Macaca mulatta: one gene and its partner. The protein of the gene in region 1 interacts with the protein of each later gene in a pairwise test. Links are inferred from orthologs where the notes say so. Each region holds a gene or a part of one and is shown on either strand. Other genes may lie near its edges.

The links. The genes of interacting proteins can lie anywhere in the genome.
Region 2: the proteins of MAPK8IP3 (region 1) and KLC1 interact in binary tests that used the Homo sapiens proteins (3 or more experiments, as listed by UniProt). The link is inferred for Macaca mulatta from reciprocal best matches to the Homo sapiens genes MAPK8IP3 and KLC1.

What each region holds. Positions count from the first base shown.
Region 1 is NC_133425.1:2,986,162-2,989,661, reverse strand, and holds part of MAPK8IP3 (C-Jun-amino-terminal kinase-interacting protein 3), read right to left. Parts: intron 2,731-3,500; coding exon 2,600-2,730; intron 2,406-2,599; coding exon 2,349-2,405; intron 2,246-2,348; coding exon 2,075-2,245; intron 1,467-2,074; coding exon 1,340-1,466; intron 987-1,339; coding exon 891-986; intron 801-890; coding exon 642-800; intron 1-641.
Region 2 is NC_133412.1:177,048,710-177,052,846, reverse strand, and holds the start of KLC1 (kinesin light chain 1), read right to left. Parts: upstream 2,801-4,137; 5' UTR 2,506-2,800; intron 1-2,505. UniProt on the Homo sapiens protein: Kinesin is a microtubule-associated force-producing protein that may play a role in organelle transport. The light chain may function in coupling of cargo to the heavy chain or in the modulation of its ATPase activity.

The sequences.
Region 1 (3,500 bases):
AGGTCAGAGCCCGAGCTTGAGGCTACCCGGCAGGAGCACAGGGCCATGGGACTCCCAGAATCTGTCAGGATCCAGCCTTAACTGTAGCTTGAGAGGACATGGCTGTCCTTTCCCGGGGCCAGAGCAATGCGGACTCAGGACTGCACTCTAAAGCGCTTGCATACATGGTTTCGTCTCCACAGAGGAAGCCGCTGAGCTCCAAGAGGCCCAAGCGGGCCATAAAACTAAGCCTCCGACCACTTGGAAGCAAGCTCTGCCACTCCAGGCCACTTGGGGGGTCGGGGAGAGGGAAAGGGAGAGGAGGGGAGGGGGAGGAGAGGAGGGGAGGGGGAGGGGAAGAGGGCCCACCCCAGCCCCATTCCCAGCCAGGGGACGGACACTGCTGGATGGCACTCGGAGAGGGGAGGGGAGGGCCGCCCCAGCTGCAGCCCCATTCACAGCCACGTGGGCCAAGATTCCTACTGAAAACCCAGAAGGCGGCTCAGTCCTGGGGAGGGAAGACACTGCTTCCCGCAGTCCAGGAGCCCCTGTGCCGCCCTGCTTCCGGGTGCTGTCCTGTGTCTCACTCCCAGCATGCTCTGCAGCTGAGCTGTCCTGAGACTCAGCCAGGGAGGGTGCCCGGTGGCCTCCGCCATACTCACCTTCTTCTTCTCGGGAGACCCGTGGGCGCTCTTGGGCTCACCGTCTCCTTCGCGGTCGCAGGTCAGGGGGTCGCGGCCTGGCGCTGGCTTGACTCCATTCCCACCGTCGTCCTCATTGGGCTTCCATCCGCTCAGGTTGACGCCCGCAGCACACCACAGCTGCAAGGGCAGGGCCGGGGTCGGGTGTCACCGGCGCTCCCCAGCCTCCCGCCTGCCCAGCCGGCCTGAACGGGGTCCTCGCCCGCTCACCTTCATGGTGGGGTCCTTCTCCACCAGAGGGCGGCAGTACACGGGCACCGGCACGTTCTTCATCCGCGTGTCCTCCTGGCCCCCGTTGGGACTCAGCTGCAGGGAGCAGGGAGGCGCTATGGGCACCAGCCATGGCTCCTACCCATCCCTCCAGAAACCTTAGGCCGAGCTGCCAGCTTCTTGCGGCAGAGCCACCTCAAGACTGGAGGCAGGTGGGGGCGTGGGAGCCGCAGGGCTCCTCCTCCGACCCTCCAGACCCCTGCCCAGGGGGCTTACTAGGACCTGCCAGGCCCCGCCCCTCCCCGCCCGTCGTCCCCTCCCCGCCCGTCGTCCCCTCCCACACCCGGCACTGCCCCGCCCTCCCCCCCGCCCCTTACTCACGCTCCGCCCCTTACTCACGCCCCGCCCCCGCGGGGCCCCGCCCTGTCCCCGAAGCGCCCCGCCCGCACCTGCTTGTACTTGGCGGGCAGGCTCCAGCCGCAGGCCTGAAGTCGGCCGTCGTCGTTACGCACGTGCTCACGCACCTGGCGGTACTGCTCGCGCTTCTGCTCTCGACGGGCGGAGGACGTGCAGTCGCTGAGTGGAAGAATGATGGGTGATGTCTCTGTCCAGGGTGAGCGGCAGCCGAGCAGCAGGCACCCACAGTGCCCCAGGCTTGCCCTGGGGGAGGTCACGGCAGGGAGGCCCATCCTCGCCTTTTCCCGGCCACCGAGTGCCTAGCTAGGGAGGGTGGCCTTCCCAGCACCGGGTATGCCCCTGGGCTTGCAGGCCACAGCTGGCACCTGCTCAACCCAGAGGCTGCTCTTTGGCCATAGTCACGGAGGGCTCCACAGACCAGGACCTGGAGTGCCGCCAGGGCACAGGCGCGGCCACTGCACATACGTCTGAAGTGGCTCCTTGCTGCAGAGGCCACCGTGGAGCCCAGCGCAGCCCCCTGACTGTTGGTGTGCACAGCCTCTGCCAAGGGACATCCTGAACCAAACACTTCGGAGCCAAAGCAGCCCAGCTCCCCGCTGCAGGGAGGGGCAGGCAGTGTGCAGGGAGAGGTCACGACCCCTGGCATGTGGCCAGCAAGGTGGAGGCTGCCCTCAAAGTCCCGCTTCAGGTCCTGGAGGGGAGGGGCCTCAGGACAGGGCCTCCCCAACCCCACTGCAGGCCACTAGTGGGGACCATGGGACACTCACTCATCAGGGAAGAATTCCAGGGGCCGGCTGCCCGCCGAGATCGGGCACATGGCATGGCTGCGGCGCTGGCTGAAGCCGGCCGTGGTAGGCGACTTGTAGTGGATATTCACCGAGGGGTAGGGGCGCTTGGCCGGAGGGGGGCTGGAGGAGGAGCTGAAGAGGCGGCTGAAGCTGCCGGAGGCACAGGGAGGTGAGGGGTGGGCAGAGGACCAGGGAACTTCCCTGCCCCTTCCCCTGCAGCTGCTGCCCACACCCCCTGGGGCCCCCAGCTTACAACTGCCAGATGGTGGACTTCTTCTTCTCCTGGACGGATGGGTGCTCTCGGGATGCTCTGCGGGGGAGGGCATAGGGAGCAGCCTGCTAGCACCCTCACGCCTCCCTTGCCTGGTACTCTCTGGGCTCCCACCAGGAAGCACCCAGCACCCTTCAGTCCCCCCAGAAGACAGGGAGGTGCAGAGGAGGGAGCCGCAGTTCTGCCATCAGGGATGACCCCACAGCCCTTCCTGGGGTGGCCGCAACTCCCACCTGATCATCTCGGTCCACCGCACAGCCTCCTGCAGCTCCATCAGCCGCTCCTTGTACTGGTTCCGCTCCATGAGCACACGGGCCATCTCTACCCGCGTGAAGCGGCGGCGCTGGGCCATGGGGATTTTGTCCTGTGGAGGGGAGAGGCACAGAGGCTCAATCAGCCAGCCTTGGAGGCCGGGTCACACCTGCTTCCTCCTGGGGTGCCTCCACCGGGGCAGGGTCGTGGCCTCCAGGTATAGGTGGATCTCAGTACCAATTTCTTTTTTTTTTTTTTTTTTTTTTTTTGAGACGGACTCTTGCTCTGTCACCCAGGCTGGAGTGCAGTGGCCGGATCTCAGCTCACTGCAGCCTCTGCCTCCCGGGTTCACGCCATTCTCCTGCCTCAGCCTCCCGAGTAGCTGGGACTACAGGCGCCCGCCACCTCGCCCGGCTAGTTTTTTTGTATTTTTTAGTAGAGACGGGGTTTCACCGTGTTAGCCAGGATGGTCTCGATCTCCTGACCTTGTGATCCGCCCGCCTCGGCCTCCCAAAGTGCTGGGATTACAGGCTTGAGCCACCGCGCCTGGCCTCAGTACCAATTTCCTGCAGATCCTCAGGCAAGAAGCCTGAGGGGTGTCAGCAAGGGGGGAGGGGAACCTGGAGTCAGCCTGACCCTGCCAGGGCTGCCAGGACACGCGTGAGAGGCACGATGTGGGTGACTTTCCCTGCATGTCCGTGGAGGCCCCAAATGCCTCAGGTGAGGTGCAGGTGGGACTGCTCCAGTGTGAAATGAGTAGATGGGACGCTCTAGGAAGGGTCCAGCCGGCTGAACACTTTGGGTTCTGACAGACCCACGTGGGGTCTGTGGTCTGCTCCCCTACCCAGGGCTGCTCAGCAGAGCTGCCAGGGAGTGAGGAAG
Region 2 (4,137 bases), on another chromosome or scaffold:
TATTACTCTCGTTTGAATATATTACTGATCATTTCTTTGCTACATAAAATACTGGTTTCGGCCCAGGTGCAATGGCTCACACCTGTAATCCTAGCATTTTGGGAGGCTGAGGCGGGTGGATCACCTGAGGTTAGGAGTTGGAGACCAGCCTGGCCAACGTGGTGAAACCCCGTCTCTACTAAAAATACAAAAAATTAGCCTGGTGTAGTAGTGGGCGCCTGTAATCTCAGCTACTAGGGAGGCTGAGGCAGGAGAACTTCTTGAACCTGGGAAGCAGAGGTTGCAGGGAGCCGAGATCATACCACTGAACTCCAGTCTAAGCGACAGAGCAAGACTCATCTCTAAACAAATAAATAAATAAAAATAAAATACTGGTTTCTAACATTCCACTTATCTACGAAGAACATTTTCAGGCGATACTAATCCTACATTTCACTCAACTTTTGATTTTTCTATTCTAGGTTTCTTTTTATACAAGTATGTTTTAAAATAGTTTATGGCCCTATACAGAGTTACACATTGACTTTTTTCCAACACTGAGAAACATGCTTAAGAATGTATAAATTTTAAAAATGTATAAATTTGGGCCAGGCGCAGTGGCTCACGCCTGTTAATCCCAGCCCTTTGGGAGGTCAAGGTGGGCAAATCATGAAGTCAGGAGATCGAGAACATCCTAGCTAACACGGTGAAACACCGTCTCTACTAAAAACACAAAAAATTAGCTGGGCGTGGTGGCGGGCGCCTGGAGTCCCAGCTACTGGGGAGGCTGAGGCAGGAGAATGGCGTGAACCCGGGAGGCGGAGCTTGCCATGAGCAGAGATCGCACCACTGCACTCCAGCCTGGGCAACAGAGCAAGACTCCATCTCAAAAAAAAAAAAAAAAAAAAGTATAAAATTTAAATGAGTGCAGTTATTTGTTATGAAATATTTAAGACACTGTGTGCCTCTCCCCAGTGTCATTCCCTTCCCCTTTGCTGGAGATAAACGCTGTCCAGTACACAGACTCCTGTGCACGTCTGGATGCTTTTCTAAGACAATGCTAGGCAAGGTGAGGTGCGCAAGGCTGCAGTAGGGTTAGAGGTTACCACCTGGGTCCTCCACAGCACTCAGTGCCAGACAGGGCTGCCAGGCTCAACCGCAACATGATGTTGCATTCTTTGATGACTTGGAGAGACACTGGCTCTTTAGAGTGCCTACCCTCCCACACAGAATTCCATACAAGTTGAAATACACTTCATACTTGGTATCATTGTATTCCTACAAATATTTAGGAAACAGAGCAATAGGTCAAATTTCTCACCATAACAGGCTTGTTGGCAATACCTGAAAGAAGCAAGGCCATGGCTGTAATATAACTTAAGGAGGTCGTTCCAGTTTCCTAATGCGTTTTTCACTAAACTAGTGCAATGTATTCCGAGCTGATTCTGATCAATGGCTTAGTCATGCCATACCAAAAAAAAAAGGCCTTGGAATTTAACTAATGCAAAGAATCAAAGCTCTAACTGCCCTTTTACAGAACACCTGAAATAGTATATCTCAAATTTTTTGTTCTCACATTTTTTAGAAGCATCATTTTTGTAAGTATTCCTTTATAAATGCTTAATATGTAAATTCTTAATGCATTGAAATAATAAAAAGTAACAGGCAGCAACAATTCCAATACAAATATACCTAGAAACGACCTACAAATATTAAGTATAAAACCATCCACTCCATCACGCATTAATTTCACTTTTTTAACGCTTTATTTTAATTTTCCTAGGGAAAAGGGTGCACCCAATTTTACATCGAAAAAGCATTCCAGGACGGGGGCTGCTTCAACTTTAGTTGGAGCAACGCCAGCTTAGGTGAACAGGGTCGCCTGAAACGTTTCACATCTGGTTACCGAAAAAAACGGGTCGCCAAAGAGGCGAAGCGGAGTCGGCTCTCGGGAGGGACCCGGCCCCCCGCCGCCCGCGAGGATGACAGGCGCGTCCGCTCAGGGCGGTGCCGGGAGAGGCGGGGGTGGAAGGAAGAGGAGGAATCGGACAAAGCCAGCCCCGCCGGGCCTCCGGCCTCCCCGCCCGCCGCGATCCCGGGGGCGGCCACCTCCCCTGTCGCGGGCTCCCGGGGTCCACAGCTGTCCCCGGGAAAGGCCGCCGCCGCCCGCAGCTGGGCCGAGCCGCGGATGCGGGACCAGGGCGGGGCCCTGGGCAGGGTCGAGGACCGGAACCTGCAGTGGGACGCGGATGGGGAGGACGCACGGCGCCGGGAGCTGGGGCTGGGAAAGGGGCCGGGGACAGGAACCCGACCTGAACCTGCAAGGGGTCGCGGACCGGCCGGGGCGGTGAACTGGGGCGGGTACCGGGGTGGGAACCGACAGGGTCTGGGACCCAAACCGGGACAGGGACCTGGATGCAGACGGAGTTGCGCCCGGGGCAGGTCCGAAAAGGAGCGAGACAGGGCCGGGGCGGAGGATGAGGAGGGGGCCGGGGCCGCGGTCCGGGGCGCACGCCGGGGACTCACCGTCCAGCTCCTGAGGGCCGCGCTGTCTCGCGCTGTCAGCACCAGGAGCGCCGCCGGGCGCGCGCGCGGAGCAGCGACCGCGCGCCGAGCCCGCCTCGGCTGTGTGAGGCGCGGCGCAGCAGTCACGAGCGAGGGGCGCCGCCGCCCCGTAGCATCCTCAGCCGCCCGCGCGCTGTCCCCTTGGCCGCCGAGCACAGCCCCGCGGCTCCTCCTCGCAGCGGCAGCGGAGCCGACCCAGCCAGTCCCGCTCGGCCGCCTGCGCCTCTCCCGCCGCCGAAAATGGCGTCTCAGTGTTGCTCCCGCGGCGCCCCGCCTCGCCCCGCCCCACAATGCCGCGCGCCGGCATGACGTCATCGCCTCTCGCGCCGCCCGGGGCTGGGGAAACTGAGGCTGGGTGGCTCTCAGCAAGCGCTCGGCGAGCTGGGGACTGGAGGGGCGAGGAAGCTGTTTGGGTATCAGGAGGGCGGTCACAGGGAACAGGGTGACGGTGCAGGACGCCGCGGGCCTCCCGGCTGGAACACGGACGGGGGCGGGGCGCTTGGGGCAGGGCGCGGCTCGCGGGGTGGGCGGCCAGGCCCTGGCCTCTCCGACCTCACAGCCGCGATGACCGAGCGCTTCGGCACCTTCCCCTCCAGCCGGGCTGTGGGCACTACCGAAATGCGGCCGGGGAAGGTGCAGGCCTGGCCGCAGCCGCCACCACTGGGCTCCCGCCCCGCCCCACTCGGAGGCCCGCGAGCTTCGTGCGCTCATTTCGGTCCCCCCAAAACCCCATTAGGAAGCCTTTGGGAGCCCCCGGAATCACAGGATCCCGGCCAGGCCTTTCTCCCTTCTCCAGGAAAACCGACAGCCTTTGGTCGAGACCCTGATCCCTAACCCTGCGCCTCCCTCTCCTCGGGGCTTTTGGACCCTCGTATCTGTACGAGGAGACTTTCCAGGCGCTCCCCCTCGACACAAACTGCGCCTCAGACGGGCAAAGGGGAAGGGCCGGGGTGTAGGCTGTGAGGGTGGGAGACATCCACTCTCTGACCCCACGCAGCCACCGGCGCATCTCCCTGGCTGCAGGGCCTCGACCTCCAGCCCGGCCTGAAGGGCAACGGAGCGGGCCTGGGTCAAGTCCTGCGGCTTCGCCGGCTCCGCAGGCCTGACTCAGCAGCCAGCCGGGAGGGCATGCTGATTCAGTGGGCGAGGCTCCACTCGCTGCTGCCAGCGGCTTGGGATAAGCCCTCCCAGTGCCTGCAGACGTCCCAAATGCGGGGCCCGGAGGCATCGTTTAACCTGGAGGGGTTCCTGGGCCAGTCCCCGAACCCCATCTTGTGAACTGCTGTTCCTTTCCGATGTTACCACCCAGCACCAGCAGCCCTGTGTGAACCCTGCAGTTATGCCCCGCAGTCACCAGAGAAGCAACTGCATCCCGGTTTTCCCAGGGAGGTCTGGTTACTTTTATCTCATTTATAAAGACAAAGGTGGGCTGGCCGGGCGCGGTGGCTCAAGCCTGTAATCCCAGCACTTTGGGAGGCCGAGGCGGGTGGATCACGAGGTCAGGAGATCGAGACTATCCTGGCTAACATGGTGAAACCCCGTCTCTACTAAAAATACAAAAAACTAGCCGGGCGTGGTGGCGGGCGCCTGTAG